Linked DNA regions of Elephas maximus indicus. The protein of the gene in region 3 interacts with the protein of the main gene of each other region in a pairwise test. Links are inferred from orthologs where the notes say so. Each region holds a gene or a part of one and is shown on either strand. Other genes may lie near its edges.

Region 1 (7,059 bases), on a different chromosome or scaffold from region 3:
TTCATTCTGGCCCGAGGGTGCACCTGTGCTGTAGTAGCTGCTCCGGCCTGATGCCCCACTCTCCAGCCCAGTGGAGGCAAAGGCTCGGGCCTCAGTCCCCTGGAACCCGCAGTTTCGGCCAGCCTGCCCACCTGGGTGCCCATGGTGAGGAGCCCAGCCACCACCCTTGTCCCCGGCCCACTCAGCGCCCACCTCCCCAAAGCCTGGGCCACTGGGCACCTGTTCTGGGAACAGAGTCCCGTTCTTCCGGGACCGTCTCTTGCGCTTGGGTTTCCCAGTTGTGGCATCCACCTCCCCTCGGCCCCGTTTGCGGGGGTGTCCTAACTCAGTGAGGCCGGGGCCCCCGACCCCAGCAGGTGCCACTGCCACCACTTTCTTTTTCTTGCCGATGCCCTCAAAGAAGTCACTGAAGGAGCATCGGGCTCCCTTGGCTGCATGGCCCCCACCTCGGCCACCAAAACCGCCGGCTTTGCCACCCCGCCGCCGGAAACCCTGCACACGATGCAGGAAGTGTGAGATGCTCTGGGTGTCTGGTGCCTGGTGCACTGACTCAGGCTCACTGGGCGTCCAGCAGCGAGGCGGTGAGCAGCGCCCAGCACACTGGCTCTGGCGGTTCAGGAAGGCCAGCTTCGCGAGGACATCAGAGTACTCGGCCTTGCTATCGTTGGCATCTGCTGCATAGGACGGCTGGGGAGACGCCAGCTTCTGCTTCCGCCGCCGCCGTTTCTTCACCTCTGGCATGGCCATGGTGGCCGCTGTCACGGTGGCCGCCTCAGCTGCCACTACTACTGGCTCCTTGGGCTTGCCGGGACCCAGCAGCAGGTTCTTGGGTGGGCGGCCGCGCTTACGCTTGAGGATAATGGGCATCTCACCAGGTGGGAAGACTACCACCACATTCCGCCCATTGTTCTTCATCTTCAGCAGTGGGGTGGGCTCTGCAGACACACGCAGGCCCAGCTCCTTGCCTTCCACACTCAGACTGCTGCTCAAGGAGGACACCTTGTACGTGGTCTTGTTCCGCCGACCCAATGATACAGGGATTTTAGCCATCTTCACCACCATTCGCCGCACACCCCGGCACTTGTTTTTGCGAGGAGGGACCACCGGGGGATGGGAAGATTCCTGCTCCAGCTCTGGGACCAGGCCTGGCCCTGGCAGGGAAGGAGGTGGTGGTGGAGGGGGTTCGGCCAGGGCGGCTACCAGCCCTGTGGGCATAGGCAGGGGCAGCAGGCGGCCCTCAGGTCCAGCGTCTGCCTTGCGCCCCCGTCCGGCCTTCCGCCGGCGACACAGGATCTTTGGCCTATCAGTGCGCCGCAAGGCATACTTGGGGTGACCCTCAGGCCCAGGAGGGCCGTGGGGTGAGCACAAGTCCAGGCGCAAGGGCTCGGCCAGTGGGCAGGGTCCCAAGGTCTGCTGGGGCTCCAGACGGCGGCCTGAGACGTCAAGCAACTTGGGCAGGGGGTCAAGCGCCTGGGGATCGAGCAGTTGTGACTCTAGGGAGTCAGGCAGGCTATCCAGAGCCTGCAGAGCCAGGCCCGGCAGCCCCAGAGGATCAGCAAGAGGTTGCAGGGGTGGCAGCTCCAAAGCTTCCCCAAGCGGCTCTAGGGCCTGTGGGTCCAGGAAGTGGGGCTGGGGGTCCAGGAGCTGAGGCTCTGGCTCAGGTGATGGTGGCTCAAGGGCCTGGGCCTCTAGCAGCTGGGCCTCAGGGCAAGTAAGGGAGGCCAGCTCACTAAGGATGTCAGCATCAGCGAGCTCTGAGTAATCAGGCCCGTCTGGCTCAGGCTCTGGGGGCAGACCAGTGGCCACCGCCGTGGCTCCAGGGCTATGGCCTTGGCCAGGCTGGGGGCTGTCCCTAGGCTCTGGCTCAGGCTCATAGAGGGGGTGGCTGGGTCGCTCAGACTTGGGGTGGGGGGCGGCCCGCTCCTCGGGGCTGCGGATGCTGTTGGCCAGGCTGGGTGAGGAGAAGAAGCTGTACTGTAGGTCGCCGGGTGGCGGGGCGGGTGGGCGGCTGAGCCGGAGACCACCACAGTCCAAGTGCACGCCACTGTGCTGCAGGTCCTGGGAGAGCCGAGTCAGGTCCTTCATGATGTCAATCAGCTGTACCACTGGACGTAGGTTCACCCGCCCGTTGTCCCAACGGTGTCGGGAGTGGGAGCTGCTGCTGTCTCCGGCAGGCGTGGGGCAACGGGCCTGTGAGATGGGACGGGCCGCACGCGGGGGCAGTGGGTCGTCCCCCTTGGGAAGGACTGGTGGGCGCCGGGTGCTGGGGTCCCGGCGTGGGGGTGGGCGTGGATTCTCGGAGAAGGTATGGGCGAAGGCCTTGTCAGGTGGGCTGGCAGGGGGCCGGGTGGGAAGCAAGGGCCGGGGGGTGGGGGGGCCGCCGGGGTAGTACTTGGGCTCCCGGAGGTAGTCAGGAGAGCTGCACACGGCACTGGAAGTCACCACCAGGCCCTGGGGCTTCACACGCATCCTGACCTTGTCCTCCGCGGGCCGCCGGGCGGGGCCGGGGCTGACATGAGGGTGCGAGAAGCCGGGACCAGGACCTGCTGGGCAGGATGGGCAGGAGGTCCCTCACTGAACACCCAAGTCCATCAGCTTCCCATATCCTCATTGAGCCCCTGCCCCCCCAACAAGGTTTTATTCCCTTTACCAAGCTCCAGTCCCCTCCTTAAGCCCAACCCCCTTGTTGAGCCCTTGCCTTTCCCAAACCACCACCTGCTCAATGAACCCCTCACCAGTCCCAGTTCCACTTATTCACAGTTCTCCCTCTTCTAGACCTCGAGCATCTCTGGGCTCAGGGAGAACAGGAACCCCGTGTTGAGAAGGAAACTCCTCAGCAGGGCAGGGTGACCACTCCAGATCAAACTCTGAGAGGGCTCTGCCTCTGCCAGAGGGCCAGGAAGCCCTATTAAGGGACATGGCCTCCCTCTTCCTTGTCTCCATCTCCAGGACTCCAGGAGCACCCAAGCTACTCACCCTCGGCTCTGCCGCCTGGGCTGTCACACTGGAGATCTCTGTGGGCAACAAGACAGGCAACAGAAGTCTGAATACCTCAAATGGTCTGGTGGCCATAGGGCTACCCCACCCACGTGCCCAGTTGCCCGGCCTCCTTCAGGTACCACCCCCAGCTTCCTCTGTGCTCCCCCTAGTATGCACACCTGGCTGACCTGGAAGAGAGGGGGCCTCCAGGCCTGGGGGCTCTGCCAGTCGTTGGCTGTCAGCTGGGGGTGCTGTGGAGCAGCTTTGGCCTGAGCCCAGGCCTCGGGGAGTGGACAGCACCTGGAAAGGACCATGACAGCTCAGGTTTAGTGTGTACCTACTGTGTGCCACACATTGGGGTGGAAGCTGTCCAGGCATCATTTAATTAATTCTTCATACCAATCCTGTGAGGTAGGGGCTATTAATAACCTCATTTTGCAGATGAGGAAATGGAGGCTCAGAGATGAAATAATATCATTTATTCACACACTCACTATTTATGGAGGGTCTACTTTGCAGAAGATCTAGGTAGACAGACTTTTATCAGATAATCATAAATGATTTAATTATTGATGGGATAAGAGCTGCAAAGAAAAGGTGAAGAGGGCCCGAGGTCAGCGATCTAATAATCACACCAGGGATCAACAATACAAGCTCATACTTTGGGGGCACTAGCATGTTATATAGATTATCTCATCTAATCCCACCTGTAAACCTGAGATCAATATGATTATCACCCCTATTTTTACAGATGAGGAAAACATCTACTGCAAGTTGGTAAGTACCAAGAGGGCAAGGATTTCTTTCTCATTCGCTGCTGTATCTCCAAACACCCAGAACAGTACACAGCTCACAGGGGTGCTTCAAAAATAGTTGATGGATGGATGGGTGGATGGATGGATGCAATGGATGGGATGGATGGATGAGATGGATGGATGGATGGGATGGATGGATGGATGAGATGGATGGATGGATGGGATGGATGGATGGATGGACAGAAGACGGTCAGAGCAATTAGACTTGCCTCGTCCTGCGAAGACTTACTTCTTTCCAGACCCAAAAGTGTAACCCAAGAAGGATGCTGAGGGAGGGAGTGAGATAAGAATATGGAAAGGGATACTCTAACCCCTCTTCCACCTTCAACAGAAAGGCTCTAAGCCACCATCCCACCCTCAGCCTTGGTCTGGCCCTTCTCAGAGCCCTCTCTATTTTACCTTCATAGCACTTACCACCACTGTAATCAGTTACTCATGTGACTGGTTGTTTAGTGTGTCTCCCTCTGGGGTGTGGGCTCTTCAGTACCAGGGATCACGTCTGTCTTGCTTCCTGTTGTATCCCTTCGCCCCACTACAGGGCCTGGACTATGGATGCTCCATAAATATCTACCAACTGACTCCCTGAGCTGATCAGGGCAGACCTGGGGTTTAGGCCCAGGCAAGTCTGACTCCCAAGGGAACCTGGGCACTCAGAGCCCTGGCTATTCCCAGGAGTTGGGATCTCGGGGAGTTGGGAGCTGAATGGGCCATGACCACCATGAGGGTATTAAAGGCTGACTCCAACCACTGCCTAGTGCTTGGCCCTGGCCAGACCCCTATGGCCTACCCCTCACAGACACACGTAGACTCTCTCCAGCTGCCATCCTGGCCAGTGTCATTACTCCACAGGAAAGCTTTGGGGCTGACTTGGGGACAGGATGGTGGAAGGGGACACTCCTCCGTTCCCCTTCGGTGGGCAGCAGTTTGCCAACTACAAAGCACCTCCACATATACGACCCACTGAATCTTCACAGCAACCCAGGAGGCATGGGTTATTATCCCCATGTTACAGAGAAAACCGGCTCAGAGCTGTTGTGTAACTTGCCTGAAGTCACATAGCTGCTAGGTAGCAGGATTCCTAATTCTGTCCTAAGTCCAAAGCCTCCTTCCACTCCCAGTTCCTGCAACTCTCCTTCAGTTACTCCTGAAAATGTTCCTTCTAGAGCTGTGGTCTAATTTAAGGCTGGGAGGAACCTTAAAATCATCTAACCCACTGGCTTCCAAACTCTGGGCTGGGGTGGGGGGGTAGTTTGGGGGGAGCTGTGTAACATTCCAGATACCCAGGCCCTAGTCCAGGGGAGTGTGACTCATAGATCTGAATAGACATCTGGGGATCTGTATTTTTAGTTGGCTACCCCGGTGGGGACATTGTTCTAGTGCCATTTTGTGCCCTTCCCATTTTACAGATGAGGAAACTGAGACCAGAAGAAGGAAAGAGACTTTGACCAAGGCCACAGAATGGCATGGGAGGGGCTCTTCTGTTGCTCATCCAGGTGAAGCAGCTTTCTGTCCACTATCCCTTCCCTAGCTTCAGGGTCCAGGTTCGGCTCTTCCTCATCCCACCTACTCATTCATTCAGATTCTGCTCTCTCCCATGCCTGGCTGTGGACTGTGGACTGCCTCCCTCCCCCCAAGGGCCAGGCTCTCAGTGCTCTAAGAACTTCACTCCTGCTCTTGCAGGAAGGACCTCACAAAGAAGGGAAGGGGCTCAGACTGTGGAATCTCCCAGTCTGATTTCTAACAGTATGGGTGACCCATGGCTCTTGAGGCCCTCTTGGAGATGCCCACCAGAGGCTACCATCCCCCTTTATCGAGGGTGGGGCTCATCAAGCCTCCCCCTTCTGAGACATCGCACTTGGGGCCTGAGGGTGTGATCTTGGCAGAAAGGAAAAACTTCCTTTCCAGTGGGTGCTTCTGCTCCACCCACTCGTGAAGACCTTTGGGCATGTCCTCAGGCCAGATCTGGCTGTCTACTGCTCTCTATTTCAGCCTCCAGGATCTGAGGGAGAGCAGTTGGCTCCCCTCCTCACCACAACCCAGCAGCCATACTCTTGGCCCCCTCCCTGATCTGTGAACCAAGTCAAAAGGGCCCTTCTGTCCGTCTCTGTCTGCTTCTGGGTCAGTATGTCTGAACCTGCCCATGGGGACACCAGCTGGCTGGCAGGGGGCTGGGGGCCCCAACCTGCTGTGCACAGTGCCGGGAAGCGCCAGCCCACATCCTTGAGTCCCCAGCCCCACCCTCCCCACTGCGGCTGTGACCACCCCACCCCTTCCCCAGCTGCCTCCCCTCCCCCACCCACAGCCTCCCCAGGGGAGCCTGGCTGCCAGCCCCAGCTCTCACTTCCGGCCTCATGACCCTCTCTCCAGCCTGCACACTCCTCCCCCCACACCATTTCCCTCCCAGCCTGGAGTGAAGTCCCAGGGATGTCCTCAAATGGAAAACACTGCATCAAAGGGGCTCTTACTGCTGCTGTTAGACCTTCCCCATCACTTCCCCTCCTTAGATCTGTGCCCCTCTAGGACTTGCTCACCACCCTTCCCAGTCTCTTCTCCTGCAACCCTTCACCCACTCAACCTGAGTCCAGCCTAGTGTCATAATTTTTAAAAATGGTGAAAATAATAATGGCAGCTGCCACTTATTTAGTATTTAAACAGAGACACAGAGAGGTTAAGTTATGAACTTAAGGACAAACAGCCATGACATGGAAGAGGTGGAGTCTGAATTTAGGTTTGTTGGGCTCCTTTAAACCAAACCGCCTTGTTGCCCAGAGTCAACCGTCTCCTCTGCAGCCTACTCCAACTGTCCTAGTCCCACTAGTTTTAATTTTTGACTTCTAATTTATCCCCCTCCCAGGTTCTAGCCAGCCCCTCCTACTGCGGCCATCAGATGCGCTACCCTCCCTTGCCACTAGGTGTCCCCTTGGAGCCATCGATGCCCCCAAGGGGAGCTAGCCCCGCCCCACCCCCTGGAGCTATCAGTGCCCCCCCCCCCCAGCACAGCACACCCCACCCTACCCTACCCCTGTCCACACAGAGCTCCTTTGTGCAGCCCTCGCCCACCCCCTTCCTCCCCAGAGCAGGGCACCTGGCAAGCAGGTCTGCCCCAGCCCCACCCCCTGCCAGCCCCCTGCCCTGGGTGCCAGGTGTGCGGGCGCCGCCAGCTCTGGCTGGACCCGAGGGTCACCCTGCCGGGCGGCCCTCCCTTCCTCCCTCCGAGGTCACCCAGGGACTGCTTCCCGTCCTGCTCCGCCCCCATCCCCTCCTG
Region 2 (7,085 bases), about 44 Mb from region 3:
TGTTTTAAAGCAGTTGTTGATGGTTTGGTCTCTAGTTCTCTTAAGATTCCTTAACAGTTAAAGAAGTGTGTTTAGGCACAGCAGTATTGATTTTGTGAAAGATACCATGAGAAACAAAACAATGACTTCCCTTGGGCTTTCCACATCAAAGATCCCAATACATAATTTTATTAATTTGGTGTTGTTGTTGAGAACATACACAGCAAAACATACACCAATTCAACAGTTTCTACGTGTACAATTCAATAGCACTGATTACATTGTTCGAGTTGTGCAACCATTCTCACTCGCCTTTTCCAAGTTGTTCCTCCCCCACTAACATAAACTTGCTGCCCCCTGAGTTCCTATCTAATCTTTCAAGTTGCCGTTGTCAATTTGATCCCATATAGATACTGAAAGAGCACAGTGCTTAGTCTGCCTTAGAAGAAGTACAGCCAGAATGCTGCTTAGAAGCCAGGATGACGAGACCTTGTCTCACACACTTTGGACGTGTTGTCAGGAGGGATCAGTCCCTAGAGAAGGACCTCATGCTTGGTGAAGTAAAGGGTCAGCAAAAAGCAGGAAGACCCTCAAAGAAATGGATTGCCACGGTAGCTGCAACGATGGGCTCAAGCATAACAACGATTGTGATGATGGCACAGGACCGGACAGTGTTTGTCCTGTTGTACATGGGGTCACTATGAGTCAGAATCGACTTGACAGCAATGGATTTGGTTTTGGGGTTTTAGAATGGCTATAATAATAAAAAAAAGTTGGCGGCGATAACAAGTGTTGGCAAGGATGTGGAGAAACTGGAACTCTCATCCATTGTTGATGAGGATGTAAAATGGAGCAGCAGCTGTGGAAAACAGTGTGGCAGTTCCTCAAAATGCTCAACATAGAGTCACCATATGACCCAGCAATTCCACTCAGGTACCGTATTTTTTTGCAGTAATGCACCCATGTAAATAACACACCCACATACATATAACATGCATAGTGTGCCTAGGGAAAATAATGTGAAAGGGGGTTGCATGGTTGGCAAAGAGCATATAACATGCGTTATTTGCACAAAATACGGTATAAACCCAAGAGAACTGAAAACACGTTTGCACAAAAACTTGTACACAAATGTTCCTAGCAGCATGACTCATACTAGGCAAAAAGTGGAAACAACCCAAATGTTCACCAACTGATGAACAGATAAACAGAAGTGGTATATACATACAGTGGAATATTATTCAACCATGAAAAGGAATGAAGTACTGATACATCCTATAACATGGCTGAACCTTGAAAACATTATGCTAACTGAAAGCAGCCAGACCTAAAAGGCCACATATTATATGGATTCATTTATCTGAAATGTCCAGAACCAGCAAATCTACAGAGACAGAAGGTAGATTAGTGGTTCCCAGGGCATGGGGGTCTGGGGAAATTAGGAGGTATGAGGTTTCTTTTTGGGTCATAAAATATTCTGGAATTAGGTAGTGGCGATGGTTGTACAACATTTTGAATATACTAAAAACCACTGAATTGTATACTTTCAAATAATTAAACTGCTGAATTTTGTGTTGTGAATTTTATCTCAATAAGAACCTTTTAAAAGAAGAGAGAATGGCCTCCGGGTATCAAATAATTGAGGATCCCTGGGGAGAATTGATGAAACCCCTGTTTTGGGGGGTTTTTTGATTTTCAAAATGACCCTTACATGGAGAAAGCCCAAACTGAAGTGACAGATGTTGCATCATTTTATCATATAATCTTATGGGGAAAATTAGGCCAAAAAAAAAAAAAAGAATAACACTTGATTCATTCTTCTTGGTTCTAAACTTCAGTGCATTTCAGCTAGCAGTTTCTTGGTCTCCTAGTTCCAAAATTGCCAGGAGAATAATCTGATTGGCTGGTCTAGCTCACCTTCTCTTGCCAAGTCTTAGCTATGGATAGGCTGGCTTGAGTCAGGGGATTGATGGGCAGAGCTCTGGTGGCACAGTGGTTAAAGAGCTCGGCTGCTAACCAAAAGGTCAGCAGTTTGAATCCACCAGCCGCTGCTTGGAAACCCTATGGGGCAGTTCTACTCTGTCCTGTAGGGTTGCAATGAGTCAGAATTGACTCGATGACAATAGGTTTGGGTTTTTGGTTAACCCACGGGCAATGCAGTATCACACTATATAGAATATAGTCATGTAGTGGCTTTGGGTGAGGTAGAAATGCCCAGCAGTGCTCAAGCCTCCGTTCTCACCCTCACCCTGCTGGTTCTTCCCCCCTCAGTCTATCCACCCTGAGGATTGTCCACTCTCTTCTGTGGCCTCCCAGCCTCTGCTGCCCAGCTGCAGAAACCCTGAGTCTTGGCCCAGCTGCCTTCCCCTCCTAACTCCCTCCTGCTCTTCAAGCCTCCTCTCCTTCCTCCCGCCCCTCGCTTCTGTCCTGAAGAAGCTCTGAGAACATCCTCAGCACCCTGTTACCGGTTCTGGGGAGTCTAAGGTTCAGGACTTTGGGCAATTAAGCTCCAGGCCTTAGACTGGGCTAGAGACGAATGACCCAGGGAATGCTCCTGTGGAAATGGTTTGAGGAAGCTGAGTCAGTCTGTGTCTTTGTCAAGGTTGAGCTGAGGTAATTGGCCTCTGAGGGGTCAGTGCCCTTGCTTTCCTTTTTGTGCCCTTAGCTCCGCCTTAGCAACCCTGCCCTCCCCACCCACCTGCTGACTCCTCTTGCATTTGGGCTGGCAATTGGGCTTCTAAGGCTCCTGGTTCATTGCATTGTCCCGTCCTGAAAATTTGTACTTAAAGAGGAAGGTAAAACTGGGAGAGGCAACGACTTGACCCTTGGCAGGTATTTTGCGGTGTTTTGGGACAAGATTAGGGAAGCTTTCTGGTACGACATCGGTAACCACTTCCTCTGCTTGTATCTACTCACCAGCCCAGGGCAGGAAGCCTCCACTGCCTTCCCAGAATGGACCCTCTCGACCATCTCATGAGTTCATTTTTCACTCTCTAAAATCTTCACCTGAACTGCAACAGAGCCCCTAACACAGTCCCTTCTGCCTCTCTCCATGCCCTTCCTGGCTACCTAACCTGGTTTCTTAGCCTCACTAAGCCAGAGTTTCCTCATCTGTAAAATGGGAATAAAGATAGTACTTGCCTTATTATATAGGAAGCCCTGATGGCGTATTGGTTAAGAGCTATGGCTACTAACCAAAAGTTCGGCAGTTCAAATCCACCAGGTGCTCCTTGGAAACCATATGGGGCAGTTCCACTCTGTCCTATAGGGTCACTATGAGTTGCAGTCGACTTTACAGCAACATGTTTACCTTATATGAGGGGTTATAAAGTTTAAATGAGATAAATATACTGTATTTCCTACAGTACCTGGCACACCATCAGTGCTCAGTAGACATGAGCTGCTACTGTTGCTGCAATTTTATTATTTTATCAATCATGCAACCAAATGCTAAGGTACCCTTAGTATGTGCTAGGAACCTAGGGGTCTGTAGTGCATGTGTTCGGACTCAAAGAGGTTTACATCCACTTGGAGAGAGGAGCAAAACTACCAACCAATGAAATAGTTATAATCTGGCAAAATCTGTCAAAATGCTCAGAACTCACACCCTGCAACTCTGCCTCCTAAATACAGTCTCTCCTTTGCGACTCTTCAGGCCCAGCTGCTTGGCTAGATAAGCCCATCCACAAGATGTGAGGGTCTGGCCTTTGGGGAACCCCTCTGGGCCTCCCCTGGCCTTTCCAGCCAGTCCTCTCTTCTACACCAAGCCAACACCAGACACAGCCCAGGACTGGCCCTGAGTCTCTCATCTCCAGGGGCCAAGGGCGGTGCCCCAGCCAGGTTCTCTGGGGTTGCTGACCTGGGCACAACAGGGGGAGGAACGAGGACTTCGTCCTCACCCTAACCCAGCACCGGAAGAGTTTTGTCTTGGGTGCAACCACCCTAGAAGCGGGTATATGGGATGGGGCGGGCGGGGCAAGGGGTAGCCAAAGGCATTTGTCCCAGGCCTGGCGGCAGGAGGGGCCGCGCCTAGGGGCGGGGAGGAGTCAGGAACCCGGGAGCTCAGCCAGCTGAGAGGATCAAATTCCTTTGGTGTGAACTCTGAGACAGAAACTTGTCAGTGCTAGAGACCCGAGGAGGGAAAGAGCCAGAGGGGAAGACTGGCCAGTCCACCTGCCTGCAGCAGTCCCCCGGGAAAGGCGGGAGCTGCTCACTCAGCCGGCACCGCCACCCTGCCCGCCCCCTGGCTCCTCTGAGCCTGCCCAGAGAGGGAGAACATGGATCCAGAAAGAACACACATAAAGCTTGACCCCAGGTGAGTGAGGGCGCTGGGGCCCCGGGCCAGGAGCCAGTTGCTAAGGGACAGGGGCACCCATGCTCTGGCCTGTCCCCACCTCCCTCCCAGAGCCTTTGGCTCCCAGCATCCAGAATGAGACCAATGGAAGATGGTCTGGCTGGCTGTCCCCTAGGCCTTCAGGTACACGGTGGGGTTGGGCCAGTGTGACATCTCACTCAGGGCCTCACCTTTGCTCTTCAAACTGTGGAGAGAAAGATCCCAGAGGTGGAGTGTTTGGAGGGCTTTCCCAGGGGGAGCCGGTCCATGGCTCCCAAGCCAAGCACAGGGCCATAGACCAGCTAGGGAGCAATCCCGGGTGCTAAGGGCCCACTGCCAGGGAAGCCTGGCTCTGGGACCCTGCTCTTTCTCCCCAGCCAGCCCCTGGGCTGCTGCCCCATGGGAGTGGAGAGAATTGACTGTGGGCTATTTGGCCACCTCAGCCAGACCTGCCCCTGGCCTAAGTGGTAGCCTTCCTAACCACTGGCCTGAGCCCCAGCCTGTCTCTAACAGGACCCTGAGGGGGAATGGACAAGTCCTCTGAAGCCAGGAATGTTTGAGTGTCAGTAACTCATGTGCCTTCTGCCAATCCACTCTCTACTCCCCAGGCTTCACAATTCTGAACACAATTCCGCTATCTCCCCAGGTACACGGCAGACCTTCTGGAGGTACTGAAAACCAATTACAGCATCTCCCCTGCCTGCTTCTCTCTCCCCCCAACTGCAACCCAGCTCCTGAGAGGTGAGTCAGGGGCACTCCACAAAGGAACTGAAAGGAGGAGCCGTGAGTTCCAGACAGAAGTAAGAACAGCTCCAGGGAGCCCAGTCCTGAGGTTGGCCAGCCTGGAGAACCCAGGAGGATGCTGACCCAGTGTCCTTCATGGCTAAGGCTTTGGGCAAGAGCAACTCCTCAAGGAGTCAGTAGCCAAAAGGGGGCCAGGACAACCTAGCCCAGGAGATGAACCCACATGTTGGGTCTTCACAAGCCCCAGCTTAGAAGCCTATTCGAATTAGGGAGACTGCAGCCTGAAGCATTTAACAGACTCCAGGGCCCTCCACAGAGTAAACCCACCTCTCAAGATGGTACCTAAATGATCCAGGCCCCACAGGGCACTCCACAACAGCCATCTTGGGAAAAGGCCTATATCATTCTAGCATGGCGATGTTTTATGAATAATGTTCTTAAAACTTAGATGAAGCTCTAAAAATGTTCTTACGGTGTTGGCCAACCAGATCCTATTACTGAATTGCTTTTGGTTTAAGTTGTTTTCTCCAGTGAGAAGACTAAGATCAGACTGGATTTATTCTGTGGGCACCTAGAACATTGACAGTCCAATGGTCCTAGCATCTTTGTAGCAGATTGGGTTCACGTCTTTTGTTTTCTAACTGCGAGGTTCAGTACCACTGAGATGTGACGGGTAGGAGTTTGTGTCTCTGTGACATCCTTCATGCGCTTCCCAGATTCCTTCCTGATGTTGTTACCTCACGGAATAGATGCTCTCTGAGCAATAGTCCTGGTCAGTGTGCATTAGGAGGCAGATGTGGGCCCTGTCCTTGGGTTATGTTCAGGCTCATTCCAGATACTCCGGTCCAGAGGGATTGCTGACTGCCAGAGAGTGTCCACAGATGCCCTGCGGTCTTTGTGGGTTAGGAACAGTAGGCAGCTGCTACACCTGGCCCCAGAAACCTCCTGTTCAGAGAGTGCAGCTGGTGGTACACGTCTTTACTTATACCAGTGGTCCTCCTTGAGGGGTGATTTTGTCCCCCAGGGGCATTTGGCAATGTCTGGTTGCTACAACTGGGAAGGGGTAGTAGCATCTAGTGGGTAGAGGCCAGGGATGCTGCTAAACATCCTACAAAGCACAGGGCAGCCCCCCACAACAAAGTATTTTCCGGCCAAGGTATCAGTATTTCTGAGGTTGAAAAACCTGGCCTTACGCAGTGAAAGTTGCACTCGTGTTGCTTTGCTGCAAAATGTGCAAATAAAAACACGAAGTGTTCAAAGTGGGGAGACCGTTATGGGTCTTGGAGTCGGCGGACCTTGCTGCAGGTGGAGCTATTAGAGTGGGTAGGGCCTGGAGGGTAGGGAGGGGAGGGTGGGCACTCCTGGGGTGGGGCTGGAGATAGACCGAGTGGGAGGGTTCCCCCAGACAGTGAGGGCTAGATCTGGCCAGATTCAAGGTTTCTGGGTTGGGGGAGAGCAGGGCACAATTGAGTGGGCTGGGCAGGTAAGGTGGGGTCAGGCAGAGAAGTTGTGCTTTATCCCCAGACTCAAGAAGCCAGTGAGGGCTGTGAAGCTGGGAGGGGCTGGATGGAAGTAGTCCTTCAGGACCATTAATCAGTAATCAGGATAGACTGCAGGGAAGATGAGCCTTGAGAAGCAAGGGTATAAATTAAAGGTAATTGCCCCAGTCCAGGACAAGGGACTAGTGTCTGAGCCAGGGCAGTGACAGGGAAAGGGAAGGAAGGGGTAGAAAACAGAGGCATCCAAAGAAAAAGCAGGTGGGATGTGGTAAACATCTAGACATGCTCAGTGAACGAAAAATAGATGCTCATGAGGACTCTGAGGATTTGGTTAATGGTGAGGACATGGACAGAAACAGGAGAAGGGGAGTCTGTCGGAGGAGGTGGTGAAAGCCCTTCCCCTCTTCATTTCTAAACTGCTGTTCCGTAAGATAAATGGTATTTAGGAAAGAGCTATTCTGGTGATGTGATTGTGATCAAAATTTCTACAGGGTTTTTTTTTTTTTAATGGATTAATCCAGAGATTTACA
Region 3 (7,285 bases):
CAGTAGGACTGTCAGGCTCCTTTCATTGTCTGGGGTGATACATTTACATACTGCACCCGGTAAGAACAGATTCTTGGTCTCTCTTACAAAAGTTGAGTAACTAGAAACCTAATTTAGTGTCTCCCGTCCAAATTACTGAAAGAAGATGCAGTTGAACTAGTGAAGTCTCTTGTCTGGCTTGGGCAGCACAAACACTGTGCATAAAACACTTGGAGTAGTCCAGGCACAAGACAAACCCACCTGAATGGACGAGGAACACTGTCTGTTGCCATGGCAGCCTGATCTAATTACATGACTGATCAGGGCTGGCCTAAGTGCAGGAAAACCTACACCACTGACATGTATCTACATGATGAGAAAGACAGGCAGTCAGGAGGTTCAGGGGAGCCCTTCGACCTCTGCTTTAAGTGGAAGAGACTGGCATCCAAGGCCCTTCACTTCCGGAGCTGCTGAAACACTGACCGACGCATGCACACTTCCAGGGCAATCAGCGATGAAGCGGCACAGCATTCGCCGTCCTGGCGCAATCCCTTTCCGAGAGTTCATATGCAGGATTTCTCCTCCTTCTCTCTGGTAGTTTTCTCGGGTATAAACTTCATTCCCAAGAAGCACAAGTACCAAACTACCTTTACCCATCAAATAAACCAGAGGGTGGGATTAGCAGGGGCTTCTAGGAACTGCAGGTCTCCTCGGAAACCCAAATAGAAAAGGCTTAGCTCACCTTTGTGAAAAAAGTTAACTAGCATGACTAAAAATAACCATCAAGTAACTACCCACTGCTGTGTGCAACATGTTAACGATGATGTTTCAATATTAAGAACAGCCTGCATTACAAAACATGAATGTCATTGAGATGTGACTACTAGATTGCCGAAGGAGAACCTATTTGCATACACACATTCCCCTGCATGCACGACCGGATTTGCAAGGAATTGCCACTCTAAGGCATTAGTTTTTATTCTGTGGGTGTAATAGGGTCTTCTAATTTTGCTAATTGTATCCTGTGGATCTCACAAGGAAGCTAAGAATCTCTTCGGGGACAGAACCAGTTTGGAGGAGTCCCTACTGCACAGCATACGGTAAACAAAATAAAAATAGCTTGCCGTTCTTGTTAGCCACCTCGCGCATTATATAACCAGCTTCCGACTGGCTTTTTCCCCCCTTGCCATTACTACTCTTCAGCAATTCTCCAATCTTCCAAAGTATTTATATTACCCTCTTATCTGTAGGATTATATACCAAGAAAGCAAAACAAAACAGAGCAGCCACGGGTATGCACGAACCCCACCGTCCTTAGAAATTGTGATTTTTTTTTGTTTTCTGGCACAATCTCGATCACTACCCTACGCCCACCCCCCACTGAGGTTCTTGCTTAATCTCCCTAAAAAACCTGAATTGTTTCAACGCTTCCAGTCAGCCCCCTACGTGGTCTGAAATAAAATGAAAGCACAAGCCACGGAGTTTAGGAAGGCGGCCTGGGGGTGGGAGGGGGAGGGGGGCTGAGGAGGGGTCTGGGCGCTGTAGAGTCAGCCAAGTGGCCACCGAGGGCCCCCACCCCATGGCGACGTCCCTCCTTCCCCTCGGCGAGCGCGCGCATACACACACGCACACACTCACAACCCGCTCCGACACCGCCTCACCTCTCTCTCCGCCCGGCCGGCCCCTTCCCTGCCCTCTGCGGGACCCGCCTGCGCGCAGCACTGGAACCACGTAGGAGGCGGCGGCCGCCGCGGGAATGGCAGAGTCTCTGGCCCGGCCCGGCCTAGAGTGAACGAGCAGCGGGGCTCCGGGGCGCATCCCAAACGCCGCAGCACCTCCTCCTCCGCCTCCTCCTCCCCCTTCTCCTCCTCCCGGCTTCATTCACCCGCCCGGCAGCCGTGCAGCCGTTCACTCCCCGCGTAGGGCAGCGCCTGCCGGGGCTCCTCCGCTCCTGCCGCGGGCGCTGGCGGGGGCGCCGGCGGGCCCCAGGGTGCTCACGGGCTCCCGGCTCCAGGCAGCAGCGGCGGCTGCACATGATCAGGAAGCAGTGGCACTAACAGGGCGGCGGCAGCCAGGGCCGCCACCGCCAGCCGCACTCCCGGCACCCGCACAACCGCTCCCCGCCCGGTCCCTGCGGCCACCTCTCCGCGCCCCCCGTGCGCCCCCTCCCTGCGCCCGGACGTGCGCAAAGTCCTGATCCGGCTGCCAGCGCGGCCGCAGCCGAAAAACCGGCAAGGCCGGCCTCCGCCAGGAGACCCCAGCCCCGGAGAGCGGAGGCCAGACGGCCACCCGCGGGGAAGCCCAGTCCTCCCCGAGACCCACTCGCTCTCGCAGCCCCTTGCGGGGACGACGAGTGGGGAGGGGGCCGCGCGACCCCCCAGCGGCTACTGTCTCCCCCTGCGCCACCCCGAGGGAGGACATGGCTCTCTGCACTCGCGGCGGGACCAGCAGCCGCCGGTGCGGGGCGCCACCGCTGTCCCTACCCGCGCCCCCCGCCCGGGCGCGCCCCCTCGCCCGGCGGGCGCTCACCCTTCCCACCCGGGCCCGGCTGCCCTACTGCTGGCTCTTCACTGCGCCGAGAGTGGGGGTGTCGGCCCCCGGGAGGCTGGAGCCGGGAAAGGTTGTATGTACACGCACAACACAACACGACGCGTCGGTTTCCTTTGCTCCTCTTCCAGCTGTTCGCCGTGCCGCCGTTTGGGGTTTGGGGTTTGTTTGCTGGTTGTTGCTTTTGCCCACCTCGGGAGAGCGGGGCGGGAGGGGGGAGGATTTTAATCTAAATCAGGGGAGGAGATGGGGGAGGGGGGAGAGAAAGAATCAGAGGAGGAAAAAAAAAATAGCCACTTACTGTAAAGTGTAAAAGAATCTGGGGTTGCGTGGGGAAGGGGGGGCAGAGGGAGAGAAACAATGTCTTGAGGCTGCTGGTGCTCGGGCTGCTGCTCCACGGGGCTTGTTTTGGATCCCCCTGCAGTGAAACAGGTCCTGTACGGCTCCGCCACTGTAGTAGAAATGATGTCTGCGGTATACTCTGTTCTCTCCTCCTCCTCCTCCCGCTCCCCTCCCCTCCCTCCTCCCTCCTCTCGCCCGCCCGCCCTCCCTCCTCGCTCGCTCGCTCGCTCCAGTATGTAAATGTGTAATAGAAGCCAAATATGGAGCAGTTGGCTGCCGCCGCCGCAGCTCAAGGATCCTACTTCACGGGGGGAGGGGGGCGGGCACCCTTTGGCAGGCGGCCCGGAGAGCCGCACGGATCCCGGCGCGCGGACGGCGCGGCGACCCGCCCGCTCCCTTAACCCTTCGGTGCGCGCCCGCCCGGGGACCGCCGACCCCGGGTAGGCGGGCTCGCTTCCGCCGCGGGACCGGCCGCCACTTCCCATCCCGAAAGTGCGGCTGGCGCGGGAGGGCGACGCGCGGGCCGGAGGAGACGGTTCCTTCCAGGTTTGAGAAAGGGGCGAAGAGCTGAGGCGATGAGGTCATTTTAGCGGTGACCGGTCGGGCCTCGCGCGACTCCCCAGGTCCCAGCACCTAATTGGAGGGGAGAGAGCGACAGCGGGGTGCAACTCAGGCACCGTGGGGTACCCTCCGAGGGGTGTCAGGCTTCGGCTCGGCGATAACGAGATACCCAAGGGGGAGGGGAGGTTGGCCAGTTCTAATCCCGACGTGCCCTTCGTCCCGGGCACTAAGAGAAGGAAGCATCTAGGAGCGCGGACTGTGATAATCCTCCAGCTGGTTTAGCTTCGGCGTTCCGGAACCCAGACGCTGGGGCCGCGGGGACTGCCTTTGCCTGCAACTCGGGAAAGTTTGCAGGGTCTCCCCGAATGCACATGCACCCTCACCTTCACTGGCTGGGAAAGCTGGTGACCTCCCTGCGCTTCTTTCTCTTTCTGCGGGTCCGGAAATCTGCTTCGGATATTCAACTCCTCAGCTCTAGTCTTGATAGACGACCCGCACACTCCGCTCGCAGCTAATTCGGGATCATTAATTTAATCGGAAATGAGGTAACCAGTGTTGGAGATAGAGAAAGCAAACCGAGCATCAAATGGCAGCTCCCTTGAATCCACGCTGTAGTACTTCCTCTGGACTCAATTTTGAAGTGCGGTTCTCAGCTTCCCACTACCCGGTCCCCTCCGCATGTACCCCCTTCCAGGTGTTAGCTCGATGGGAAGGACTCTTCTTTGGAGCGGTGCACCTTGCCAACAGGTGTGGCACCTGGAGGAAGAGAAGGCACATCCTGCTCGAGAAGCTCAGTGCTGCGTTCTCCTCGCTGCATAGAATTCTGGAAGACCAGTAGGTGTCGAGCCAGCATTTGACCTCCTTCAGGTGCTTAGAACGAGTGTCTAGACACACGATGCCTCCACGTCAGTTTCTCTATGGAAGCCACCACTGTCGTGGCTGTATTTGATACAGTAAGCCGTATTGGAGAGGCCTTTTGGCTGGGTTTACTTATGACCTAACGGTTAGTCACCAACTGAAGCAGGATACAGAATTACCAGGAGAAATGTGTCAGCTTTTAAATAACAGTATTGTAGAGCCTATGTGCTTCAGAAATAAAAATAAGTATACTAAATAGGAAGGTGTCGAGCCCCGGAAATAATTTTTTTTCTCACATTTTGAAACTCTAAAAACATCTACATGGCTATTTAAATAGAGCTACTACTACTGTTCACTTTTACTCATTTCTACAACTTTCTTTTCCTTTTTTTTTTTTTTTTTTTCATTTAAAAATCAATGATGGCTACGGTTTAAACCTCGGGTTGGCTTAAAGTGACATAGTCGGTCTCATTACAGCCTCTAGTGGACAGTTAAAATCAGTTTCCTGCAAAAGCTCTCCTTGGTTTTGTTTTCACTGACAAGCTTCCTCAAGGTGAAGGCTAATATCACAGAACATAACCAGGTAATATCTTTTCCCATACTTGGCAAAGCCGACTTCTGAACCAAGCAGGGGCTTGCTGGCCTTGCACCAAGAAGACGTATGCCTTGTGCTGCAGGTATTATTATTATTGCTGGCCTGTGAATAAACAGAGAGCTTCTGTGATTCATTTCAGTTTCAGACAGCTTTCATAAAAACTAAATTCATCTAAAATATTTTTATAACAGAAAATATTGGTTGCCATGTTTTTGGCTTAACTGAGATGTTTTTATTCCAAGTCATACTCTGCAGACTGTCCAATCCACCTCCACTCTGTTTTTAGACATCTTACATTTAGAGAATTTGCAGTTAAAAAAAAAAAAAGCTAATATTTTCATTATTACATTGACATAAGCAGTTAGTTTCTGTTACGTTAACAGCTTTAAACAAATTAAAACATATAATTCAGATCAGAGCTAGTCAATGAATTTAAATGTTCCCCCAAGGAAGCTAAATATGTATATTACCCAAGCAGTAAAAACAATAAGAAATGTGTCATTTACTTTCTTAGCCATTAAGAGTAAAGCCATAAACTGTGACTAAAATCTGTAACTATTTCTTTAATGTCCAAAGTATACTCATCATACAGTTTTATTACCTTTCCTACTGAAATGTTTTCAGATGGTAAAAATATTAAAATATGTACCATTGCAAATCACAAAAGACAAAACAAAACCTGTTGCCGTGGAGTGGATTCTGACTCCTAGTGACTCTACAGGACAGGGTAGAACTGCCCCACGGGGTTTCCAAGGAACGCCTGGTGAATTCGAACTGCCAACTTTTTGGTTAGCAGCTGTAGCTCTTAACCACTAGGCCATCAGAGTTTCTGTCACATATAATAGGCTTATGCAAATAAAACCTCTTAGGAGCTGAATGAAAGAAGAGCAGGGTTTTCAAGAAGCCAGTAGGCAAATAGATAGTACTAGAGTTCACTATGGAAGTCCTGGTGGTCTAGTGGTTAACAGCTATGGCTGCAAATCAAAAGGTCAGCAGTTTGAACCCATCAGCTGCTCCTTGGTAAATCCTACAGGGCAGCTCTACCCCACCCTACAGGATTGCTATGAGTAGGAGTCAACTCAAAGGCAACGGTTTCATTTTTTTTTTTAAAATAAGCCTAGTCATAAACGTGAGATTATCTTGGTAGGAGCTAAGTCAACCTTTGAAATGAAAAGAAACAGAAATAAGGCCTGCTGAGCCTAACTGTGGAGCCCTGGTGGCACAGTGGTTAAGAGATCCGCTGCCAACCCAAAGGTTGGCAGTTCAAATCCACCAACCACTCCTTGGAAACCCTATGGGACAATTCTATTTTGTCTTATAGGGTCGCTATGAGTCGAGATCGACTCCAAGGCAACGGTTTGAGCCTAACTGCCTAAACTGTGTTCCAGAATGCGTAAATACCATGAACAAATAAATTCCTCAGATCTATTTCACTGCTTTGATAACATCACTTTTGACAGTTTAAAAAGGGCTATCAGGTGTATATTATATATATGGCCATCATTAATATCCTTGCTTCTTAAAATGTGGTCCCAGGAGCAGCAACAGCAGCATCTGGGAGCTTTATAGACATTCAGAATGGAGGGTTCCACCCAGACCTACTGAATCAAAAATCTGCATTTTAATAAGATCCCTGGGGAGGGTTCCTAAGCACTTTATACTGTGAGGAACACTGGTCTGTACTACAGGGCTAAGACAGGATGAATTTGGCTAAAGGTGCAGATCTTAATTCTTCTATATATTCCTTTTGTATTCCCTCCCCCTTTTATTAATTCGTGCATTTTACTTTAAAAATTATTACATGGTATGCTTTGGACAAAACATTTCAGAAGAGCCCTGATTTATGCACAAATCCGTATCATCATTGCCGAAACAGAGCACTCTGTTAAGGAATGTACTGAGGTCTCCAACGTGAACGTTTTCTTTGTGGCAGCAAGAGGGAGCACAAGAGTGGTTAACAGAACAAGTGTACGTCCTCCCAGTCACGGCAGTTTTTAATTGTAGTGTATGTTTTTATTGGGAGTAGCTTGCTATGTAGTTAAAAACAAAGCAAAACATGCAAACAAAAACGGCTTACCAGATTATAACAATATCATAATTGAACAGATTGGTGGGGTCTCTTCAGGTTTAACGGGATATAGACATTCTTATTTAGAGTTTTAGGCTTCAATTTTTAAAAGAAAGTGGATTTCAAAAGTCGTGCTGGTAATAGGGAACCCAAGATTGAGAAGGGAGAGTGTTGACACTCGTAGAGTTGTTAATGTCATAAAACAATATGTGTACTGTTTAATACGAAGCTAGTTTGTTCTGTAAACCTTCATCTAAAGTACAATCAAAAAATAAATTAAAAGAAAAAAAGTCATACTCTCAAAGCCACTTCTTAGGGTTTCCCTGGTCAAAAAT
Region 4 (7,611 bases), on a different chromosome or scaffold from region 3:
CTTTACAGAAGCAGAGTGCCACATCTCTCTCCTATAGAGTGGTTGATGGGTTCCAACTGGTGACCTTACATTTAGCACCTAAGCTCTTAAGCACTGTATCACCAGGCTCCAGAATTACCATAAAACCAAAAACCAAACCTGTTGCTGTCGAGTCGATTCCAACTCATAGCAGAGACAAGAGTAGAACAAGACAGAGTAGAACTGCCCCATATGGTTTCCAAGGAGCGCCAGGTGGATTTGAACTGTTGACCTTTTGGTAGCAGCTGTAGCTCTTAACTGCTAAGCCACCAGGGTTTCCAGAATTACCATATGGTCCATAAATTCCACTTTTAGGTATACACTGGAGAGAAATTCAAACCTATGGGCTCAAACATAACAGTGATTGAAAGGATGGTGCAGAGCCAGGCAGCGTTTCATTCTGTTGTACACAGGGTCACTATGAATCTGAACCCACTCCACCGCACCTACCAACAGCAACATGTCCCAAATATGCTGTTGGAACATTCTTATACTAAAATATACTATTAGTACTTAACTTAGTATTCAGTATAACCAAAGAAGTAAAGCAGAGGGAGCTAAAGCTGTCATTGGGACTGTGCAGCACAGGAAGTCCCATCCTCCACCCAATTCTTGCTGCGCTCCCAGAAAAGCGTGGACAGTTGCCATGGTGACCAAATCCCAATTCCAGGGTAATGCTAAGAAATCTCTGGAGCGAGACGACCTAATTCAGGCAGCTTTTATTGGTTGGGGCAGCTGTGTTTGTCATGATCCCACCCCCACTAGGGTATCCCGGGGCTCCTGGGTGGGGCGGTGGGCCAGCGCTCCCCAACAGGCCGAAGGCAACAGCCCATGGAGCGCGGGGTTCCGGGAGTCGCAGTCCATCAGGCAGCTACCGGGTGATTGCACATGCCAAGGTGGCGCCGTGACTGAGGGCCCAAGCAGACCCTGCGTGCGCTTTAGTCTGTCCGCAGTCAGTACTTCTGGCAGTCAGTGCGCCTGTTGGCCTGGCAGTCCCAGGGAGGAACCCAGGGGCGGATGACGGGCGTCACGTCGGCAAGGGCGGTCTGGGGCTCACGGTAGAGAACGCGTGTGGAGATGAATAAGGCCCTGGGCCGTGGTCGCTGCCCGAGGCTGGCGGCGCCCGGGTCGGCATCCCGAGGTCCTTCGCGGGACCCTGAGGGGAGAGAGGAGTTCCTGACATGGGACCCTGACGGATGCGGGGAGTCTTAAAGTACAGGGAGTGCTGAGGTCGATGTTGGGAGTGGGCCGAGGGCCATTTGGCAACCCCCCACCGGCTTGAGGTAGAAAGCCCCCGCTGGTCTGTCCGTTCAGATCCCTCTCCAACCGGCCCCAGCAGCCCTTCTCCCACCCGCTCTGCAGCCCCTGGGCCCACTCGCCCATCTCCCACCTCCCCAACTCATTTATCTGTCGCTTCCTTAGTGAGCAAACCCTGCTCAATCCTTTTCTCCCACAAACCTCCACTCCCCCGTTCTTCCCCCACACTCATTTATTTATTCAACGACTATCTCTTGATCATCTATTAGGTGGTTTGGCTGTCAGTTACCAAGCCCTCACGGGTCCCCCTTTCCTTCATAGAACTTGAGGTCTCTGCCACAGACCCTAGTGCCTACTCCAGGTAGACCAGCCCTTCCACCTAGCTTTGAGCCCTTTACATGACATTCAACCAAAAAACCAAACCAAACTAATTACTGTTGAGTCGATTCTGACTTATAACAACCCTATAGGACAAAGTAGAGCTACCCCATAAAGTTTCCAAGGAATGCCTGGTGGATTCCAACGGCTGACCATTTGGTTAGCAGCCATAGCACTTAACCACTACCCACCAAGGTTCCAAACCCAGGTACCCCCCAAAGTGGATCTCCTGTATCCCTGGACCACCGCAACAAATACTACGTGTGCCCCAGAACCTATTCTATATAGACCTCAGACCCACTCCACATCGGTCCAGGACCAAACACATTGGCCTGGGACCCCCACATCAACCTAGGATTCCCCACATCAGCCCAGCACCACTTATATCAGCCTAGGACCCCTCACATTGGCCCAGAACCTCCACATGGGCCCAGAACTCCCCGTATCAGCCTAGGAAAAAAAGAAAAAAAACACTGTAATGGAGTCGATTCCAACTCATAGTGACCCTATGAACAGAGTAGAACTCTTCCATAAGGTTTCTAAAGCTGTAAATCTTTACAGTTGGAGTGGCTGGTGAGTTTGTACTGCCAACCTTTTGGTTAGCAGCCAAGCACTTTAGCCACTGCACCATCAAACCAAAACCAAACCTGTTTCATGGAGTCGATTCTGACTCATAGTGACCCTATAGGACAGAGTAGAACTGCTATATCAGCCCAGGACCTCCCAAAAGGACTTCAGCTACCACATGGACCCTAGGAGCTGTCCCAGGCCTCCCAAAGAAGTGCTGAGGGGCTACAGCTCCAGAGAACATTTCCCTGAGCACCAGACAGGGAATGTAAGCTCTGGGACCCCAGAGCAGAGGGGACTGCTCCAACCTATGAAACTACAAAACATGCTTTTTTTTCTTTTTCCAAAAATACATATAAATGAAAGTGTAAAGCACAAGAGAGTATTTTTGCTTGTAATCCCCAATGTGCAGGTGGGGGAAAGCAGACTCACAGGCTACAGAACACACCCCCCTCATGAGTCGGCCTTTCTGCCTGAAACAACTCTCCTTTCTTTCGGATTATAAAACCCATACCTGGTAACTGTAGAAAACATGAGCCAAAGCATCAGGAAGGAAAACTCACGTGGAATCCTCCACTCTTCACCTGTTATAAGCATTTTCCCATATTGTTAAAAGTCCTTCCTAAAAATTTTCTGGTTTTTTTTTTTTTTTTCTGTTGATAAAGGTTACACGGGGTCATTATACAATTTGGGGGAGATTGACAGAAGTATGAAGAGCACCAGGCACTTGGCTTGCAACCCTGGGGCTTCTTTTCTGGCACCCCTTTGCAGAACTCTCATATATTGTCCCGCACCCTGCTTCCTCCCCTGCACCTCACCACTGCCTTGAGTGTGTTAATGGGATTAACACTATTTTGAACAGTTGGATAATACTCCATGACATAATAGGAAGTAATTGACCCCACCAGGTTTGACTGTTAGGTACTTTCGTAGTAAATTAGGACCTTTCATAGTAAATTTTGGTGCCTAAATCTTTGTCTGCATTTTGGCTAAATTTCTCAGCGTCCAGAAGGTTTTTTGTATACAAGCTGCTCCAGTGCTTCTAAGGAGCCCTAGTGGTGCAACGGTTAAGCACTCAGCTACAAACCAAAAGGCTGGCGGTTTGAACCCATACATTGGCTCTGCAGGAAAAACCCTACAGGGCAGTTCTGCTCTGTCACATGGGGTCACTATGAGTCAACAACCAGCTCGACGGCACCTAACAATACCCAGTGCTTCTGTGCCAGCTTATATTCTCACCAGTGAATGACCCCACCCTGTCAGCACAGGATATAAGCATGTAGTAAAATCCCTGCTCATTTTATGTTTATAACTTGTCGTATTTCGTTCGGTTGTGATATATTCACCATAGGAAGCTTGGAAAATATACAAAAGGTTATTTTTCCTTGCCCTTCTAGCTTTCCCTCTGCTTTTAAAGTCTCTTTCCTCCAGCCCCTCCTTGCCCTCCTTGCTGCTCCCATCATCAGCCCCAACTTGGCACATGAGGCAAGGAAGACAGCAGCAATAATACCCCAGGGGCAGGGGGCAGGAGGCCTCTATTGCATTGCCCCTTACATGGCACGAGTGGCTATTTTCAAATTAAGTAAAATTGAAAATCCAGCTCCTCATTCAAGTGCTCGGATGGGGCAGTGCAGATGGAGCACATTGTTACCTATACAGAAAGTTCCATGGGTAAGCGTTGCTACTCCACATGTCACGGCATAGCCCTTGGGTAATATCAGGTTAAAAACCACAATCGCAATTCTTTGAGAACAATGTCCATATTGTCCCCCCTTTAAAAAAGCCAAACTCGTTGCTGTCGAGTCAATTCCAACTCATAGCAACCCTACAGGACGGAGTAGAACTTCTCCCTAGGGTTTCCAAGGAGCAGCTGGTGGATTCAAACTGCCATCCTTTTGCTTAGCCAACAAACATTTCACTGCTGTGCCACCAGGGCTCCATATTGTCCCCAGCTCCTCATAAATGTTTGTTCAATGATGAACTGAGGAGGAGGAGATACTAAACGAGTAATGAAATAAAATGTGTTCAGAAGAGATGGGCGCACTATGAGGGTGGAGGGACAAGGATGACAATCAAGCGGCCACGTAGAGGAAGCTCTTCCTGCAGTGGTGACATCTGAGCTGGAATGAAAAGCAAGTGCAAAGGCCATGCGGTGGCCACTGGCTTGTCCATGGCCAGGTTAGATGGGAGTGATGCGGACAGGGCCTGGCTCAGTCCCTGGGGGCCTTGGCGGGGGGGGCAAAAACGTAGGGTACTGAGAGGTTCTAGAGCAAGGTTACCCACCTTGTGATGTGGTCTCTCTGCACTGGCACCTCTCTGCAGGCTCCTGACTGCTGCCTGTGCTTGTTCAGAGCCATCGAGGCCACATGCCCTGTGGTCAGAGAGATGCTTCCACTGGCGAGAGGCTTTGCCTCTTGCAGGAGCACCCAGACCCCAGCACCAAGTGAGAAGGATGGGGCAGTGCGGCCTGCCAGCCCCGGGGATGCAGAAGCCTGGCGCTTATGCTTCCGGCAGTTCAAGTATTGCACGGTGACTGGGCTGCAGCAGGCACTGAGGCAGCTCTGGACACTCTGCCACCTGTGGCTGTGGCCCGATACTTGCTCCAAGGAGCAGATCCTGGAACTGCTGGTGCTGGAGCAGTTCCTGAGCTCGCTGACCTGCAAGATGAGGTCCTGGGTGCAGTCACAGGGCCCCCAAACCTGCAGGGAGGCCACCAGCCTGGTGGAAGACCTCATGCAGATGTTCCAGCAGGAATGTAAGAAGCCACAGGCTCGGTGGTCCCCAGGGACTGGCTGACCCCCAAAGGCAAGTGGCTCCAGGAGGAAGTAGGAGCTGGGGTTTGGGTTCATACCAGATGAGAGCCCCGCGTCTTTCCTGCAGGTGGCCCTTGGGTAGTATTGCCATCTGTCTTAGTTCTCTAGTGCTGCTATAACAGAAATACCAAAAGTGGGTGGCTTTAACAAACAGAAATTTGTTTTCTTACAGTTTAGGAGGCTAGAAGTCTGAATTCAGGATGCCGGCTCTAGGGGAAGGTTTTTTCTCTCTGTCGGCTCAGAGGGAAGTTCCTTGTCTCTTCTCAGTATCTGTAGGCCCAGCGTTCCTCAGCTCCTTCGTAATCTTCATGTGGCATGGCATCTATCTTCCCCCATCTCTCCTTGCTTGGTTGAGCTTAATCTACTCTTTTTATATCTCAAAAGAGATTGACTTAAAACGTACCCTACACTAGTACCGTCTCATTAACATAACAAAGAAAACCCATTCCCAAATGGGATTATAACCATAAGTATAGGGGTTAGGGTATATAACACATTTTGGGGGGACACAATTCAATCCTAACCACCATATTAACAATATTAAGTTAGGCCAAATGGGGGTCCCTGGTAGTTCATCTGCGTGGTAACATCAATACTTCATTCTTTTTTATGGCTATAATAATAATATAATAATATAGCATAACATATTATGTTAATTATAATCATAATCAACTATTAGCTGAAAGGTTGGCAGCTCGAACCCACTCAGAGGTGCCTCAGAAAGGTCACAGCCTTGAAGACCCTGTGGAGCACCATTCTACTCTGCACCCAAGGGGTGGCTGTGAGTCAGAATCAACTTGACAGCGATGAGTTTGGTTTGGTTTAGTTGTTTGGTTCAAAGTGGACTTCCAAGAAAAGTTTTGGTTTGAGGTTTAAAGTTTAAATATTATTTCAGGGCAATATTTTAAGGGTTCATGCAGCCTCAATGGCTCCAGAAATTCTGGATTCCATTGAGAATTCACCAAAATTTAGTAGCTTCTTTATTCATTAAACACTTCTCTGACTGTGTAAGTTTTTCATTAGAAGAAGTTACTTCTGACCATTTTGTCATTGCTTTAGTAGAGGCATCGGAACGTTGGAGTTCCCTATTGTGCTATTTTTGGTGACATCACTACATCAGATTATTTCTGTTTGCTTTTTTTTTTTTAATAATAGTCTTATTGAAATATAATTCACATGCTATAAAATTCAAGTCAGTAGTTTTTAGTATATCCACAGTTATGCAACCATAACCACACCACAGCCTAATTCCAGAACATTTTCACCATCCCCAAAAGAAACCCCAACTTCATACCCATTAGCAGACACTCCCCATTCCTCCCTTCGCCCAGCCCCTGACAACCACTAATCTACTGTCTGTCTCTACGGATTTACCAAACCTGGGCATTTCACGTCAATGGAATCCACGAAATGTGGCATGCATGAGTAGAACTGCTGCTTAGGGTTTTCAAAACTATGACCTTTCAGAAGCGGATTGCCAGGCCTGTCTTCTGAGGTGCCTCTGGCTGTGTCAAAACCACCATACTTTAGGCTAGTAGTTGAGTGCTTAACTGCTTACACCACCCAAGGATTCCTTTGAAAACATTATGTTCAATGAAAGAAGCCAGACTCAAAAGGCCACATTTTGTGAGTTGGAATAGACTCGATGGCAACTAACAACAGCAGCAACGTTTTCAAGGTTCATCTATGTAGCAGCATGCATCAATACTTCATTCATCTTATGGCTATAATAATAATATAACATATTAATATATTATGTTAATTATGTACAAAAATGGCATAACAGGGGCATCACCTGACCTCCTCCATTTTTACAAGGGGGACGGAGAATCAAGATCAACAGCCCAAGGCTGATTCCTACTCTGTAGAGGTCAGACATGCTTCCTCTCCCCATCGTCTTTCCCAATTCTGACACTCAGCATCCCTCCCAGGGCATTGTCTATTTCTCTGCTGAGTTCGATAATTTGTTGCAGTGGCCACACAGATCTCAGACCATACTCACATTTACGGGGCTTATTAGGGAAGGAACAGGTAACAGTTCAGGTTCAGGAATGCTCAGGATACAGATCTTCCATCAGGACAACCTCTTCTCACCTGTGCTTGCAAGCACGCCTCTCTGTGGCCCCTCGGCCTCTGCCCTGCACAGGCAAGTGTTAAAAAGCACTTTTAGCTCTGCTGATAAATACTCCAAGACACCCCACTCTGCCAGTCAGCCTTGGCAAGAAGCAGTGGCAGAGAAACAACAGCAGCAGAACCAGGAGACTGGCAGGAGATGGTGTGGTGGGCTTCCCAGCTGACTGAGTGAGAAAGATGAGTGCCTTCAGGCTCCGGAGGCTTGCTGGAGGAGTAGGGTGCCTCTGGGCACTTGGTGGAGGCTAACTTCCTCCTCCCAATCATTTTACCAGTCCAAAACAGTCACTAACAATTAGCCCTTCAATAGGACAAAGAGCCCTCAGGGTGAGGTTACTTAGTACCAGTCATTCCGGCCTGCTGCACATGTCCACCTGATTTAGTCAGGTTCGCCAAAAGTCATCTCGGCTTCATTCTTCCTGGTATCCGATAAAATTTAACTGAGAGA

Evidence for each region.
Region 1: the proteins of ATXN1 (region 3) and AHDC1 interact in binary tests that used the Homo sapiens proteins (3 or more experiments, as listed by UniProt). The link is inferred for Elephas maximus indicus from reciprocal best matches to the Homo sapiens genes ATXN1 and AHDC1.
Region 2: the proteins of ATXN1 (region 3) and SLC51A interact in binary tests that used the Homo sapiens proteins (3 or more experiments, as listed by UniProt). The link is inferred for Elephas maximus indicus from reciprocal best matches to the Homo sapiens genes ATXN1 and SLC51A.
Region 4: the proteins of ATXN1 (region 3) and ZSCAN1 interact in binary tests that used the Homo sapiens proteins (3 or more experiments, as listed by UniProt). The link is inferred for Elephas maximus indicus from reciprocal best matches to the Homo sapiens genes ATXN1 and ZSCAN1.

What each region holds. Positions count from the first base shown.
Region 1 is NC_064821.1:67,894,562-67,901,620, forward strand, and holds the start of AHDC1 (transcription factor Gibbin), read right to left. Parts: upstream 3,000-7,059; 5' UTR 2,977-2,999; intron 2,544-2,976; 5' UTR 2,470-2,543; coding exon 1-2,469. Other genes in the region: uncharacterized protein LOC126071285, read right to left, coding at 3,000-3,014, 3,168-3,279. UniProt on the Homo sapiens protein: Transcription factor required for the proper patterning of the epidermis, which plays a key role in early epithelial morphogenesis. Directly binds promoter and enhancer regions and acts by maintaining local enhancer-promoter chromatin architecture.
Region 2 is NC_064819.1:17,788,102-17,795,186, forward strand, and holds the start of SLC51A (organic solute transporter subunit alpha), read left to right. Parts: upstream 1-4,084; 5' UTR 4,085-4,256; coding exon 4,257-4,294; intron 4,295-4,958; coding exon 4,959-5,053; intron 5,054-7,085. UniProt on the Homo sapiens protein: Essential component of the Ost-alpha/Ost-beta complex, a heterodimer that acts as the intestinal basolateral transporter responsible for bile acid export from enterocytes into portal blood. Efficiently transports the major species of bile acids (taurocholate).
Region 3 is NC_064819.1:62,016,208-62,023,492, forward strand, and holds the start of ATXN1 (ataxin-1), read right to left. Parts: upstream 3,023-7,285; 5' UTR 2,828-3,022; intron 1-2,827. UniProt on the Homo sapiens protein: Chromatin-binding factor that repress Notch signaling in the absence of Notch intracellular domain by acting as a CBF1 corepressor. Binds to the HEY promoter and might assist, along with NCOR2, RBPJ-mediated repression. Binds RNA in vitro.
Region 4 is NC_064829.1:87,803,512-87,811,122, reverse strand, and holds the start of ZSCAN1 (zinc finger and SCAN domain-containing protein 1), read left to right. Parts: upstream 1-4,605; coding exon 4,606-5,011; intron 5,012-7,611. UniProt on the Homo sapiens protein: May be involved in transcriptional regulation.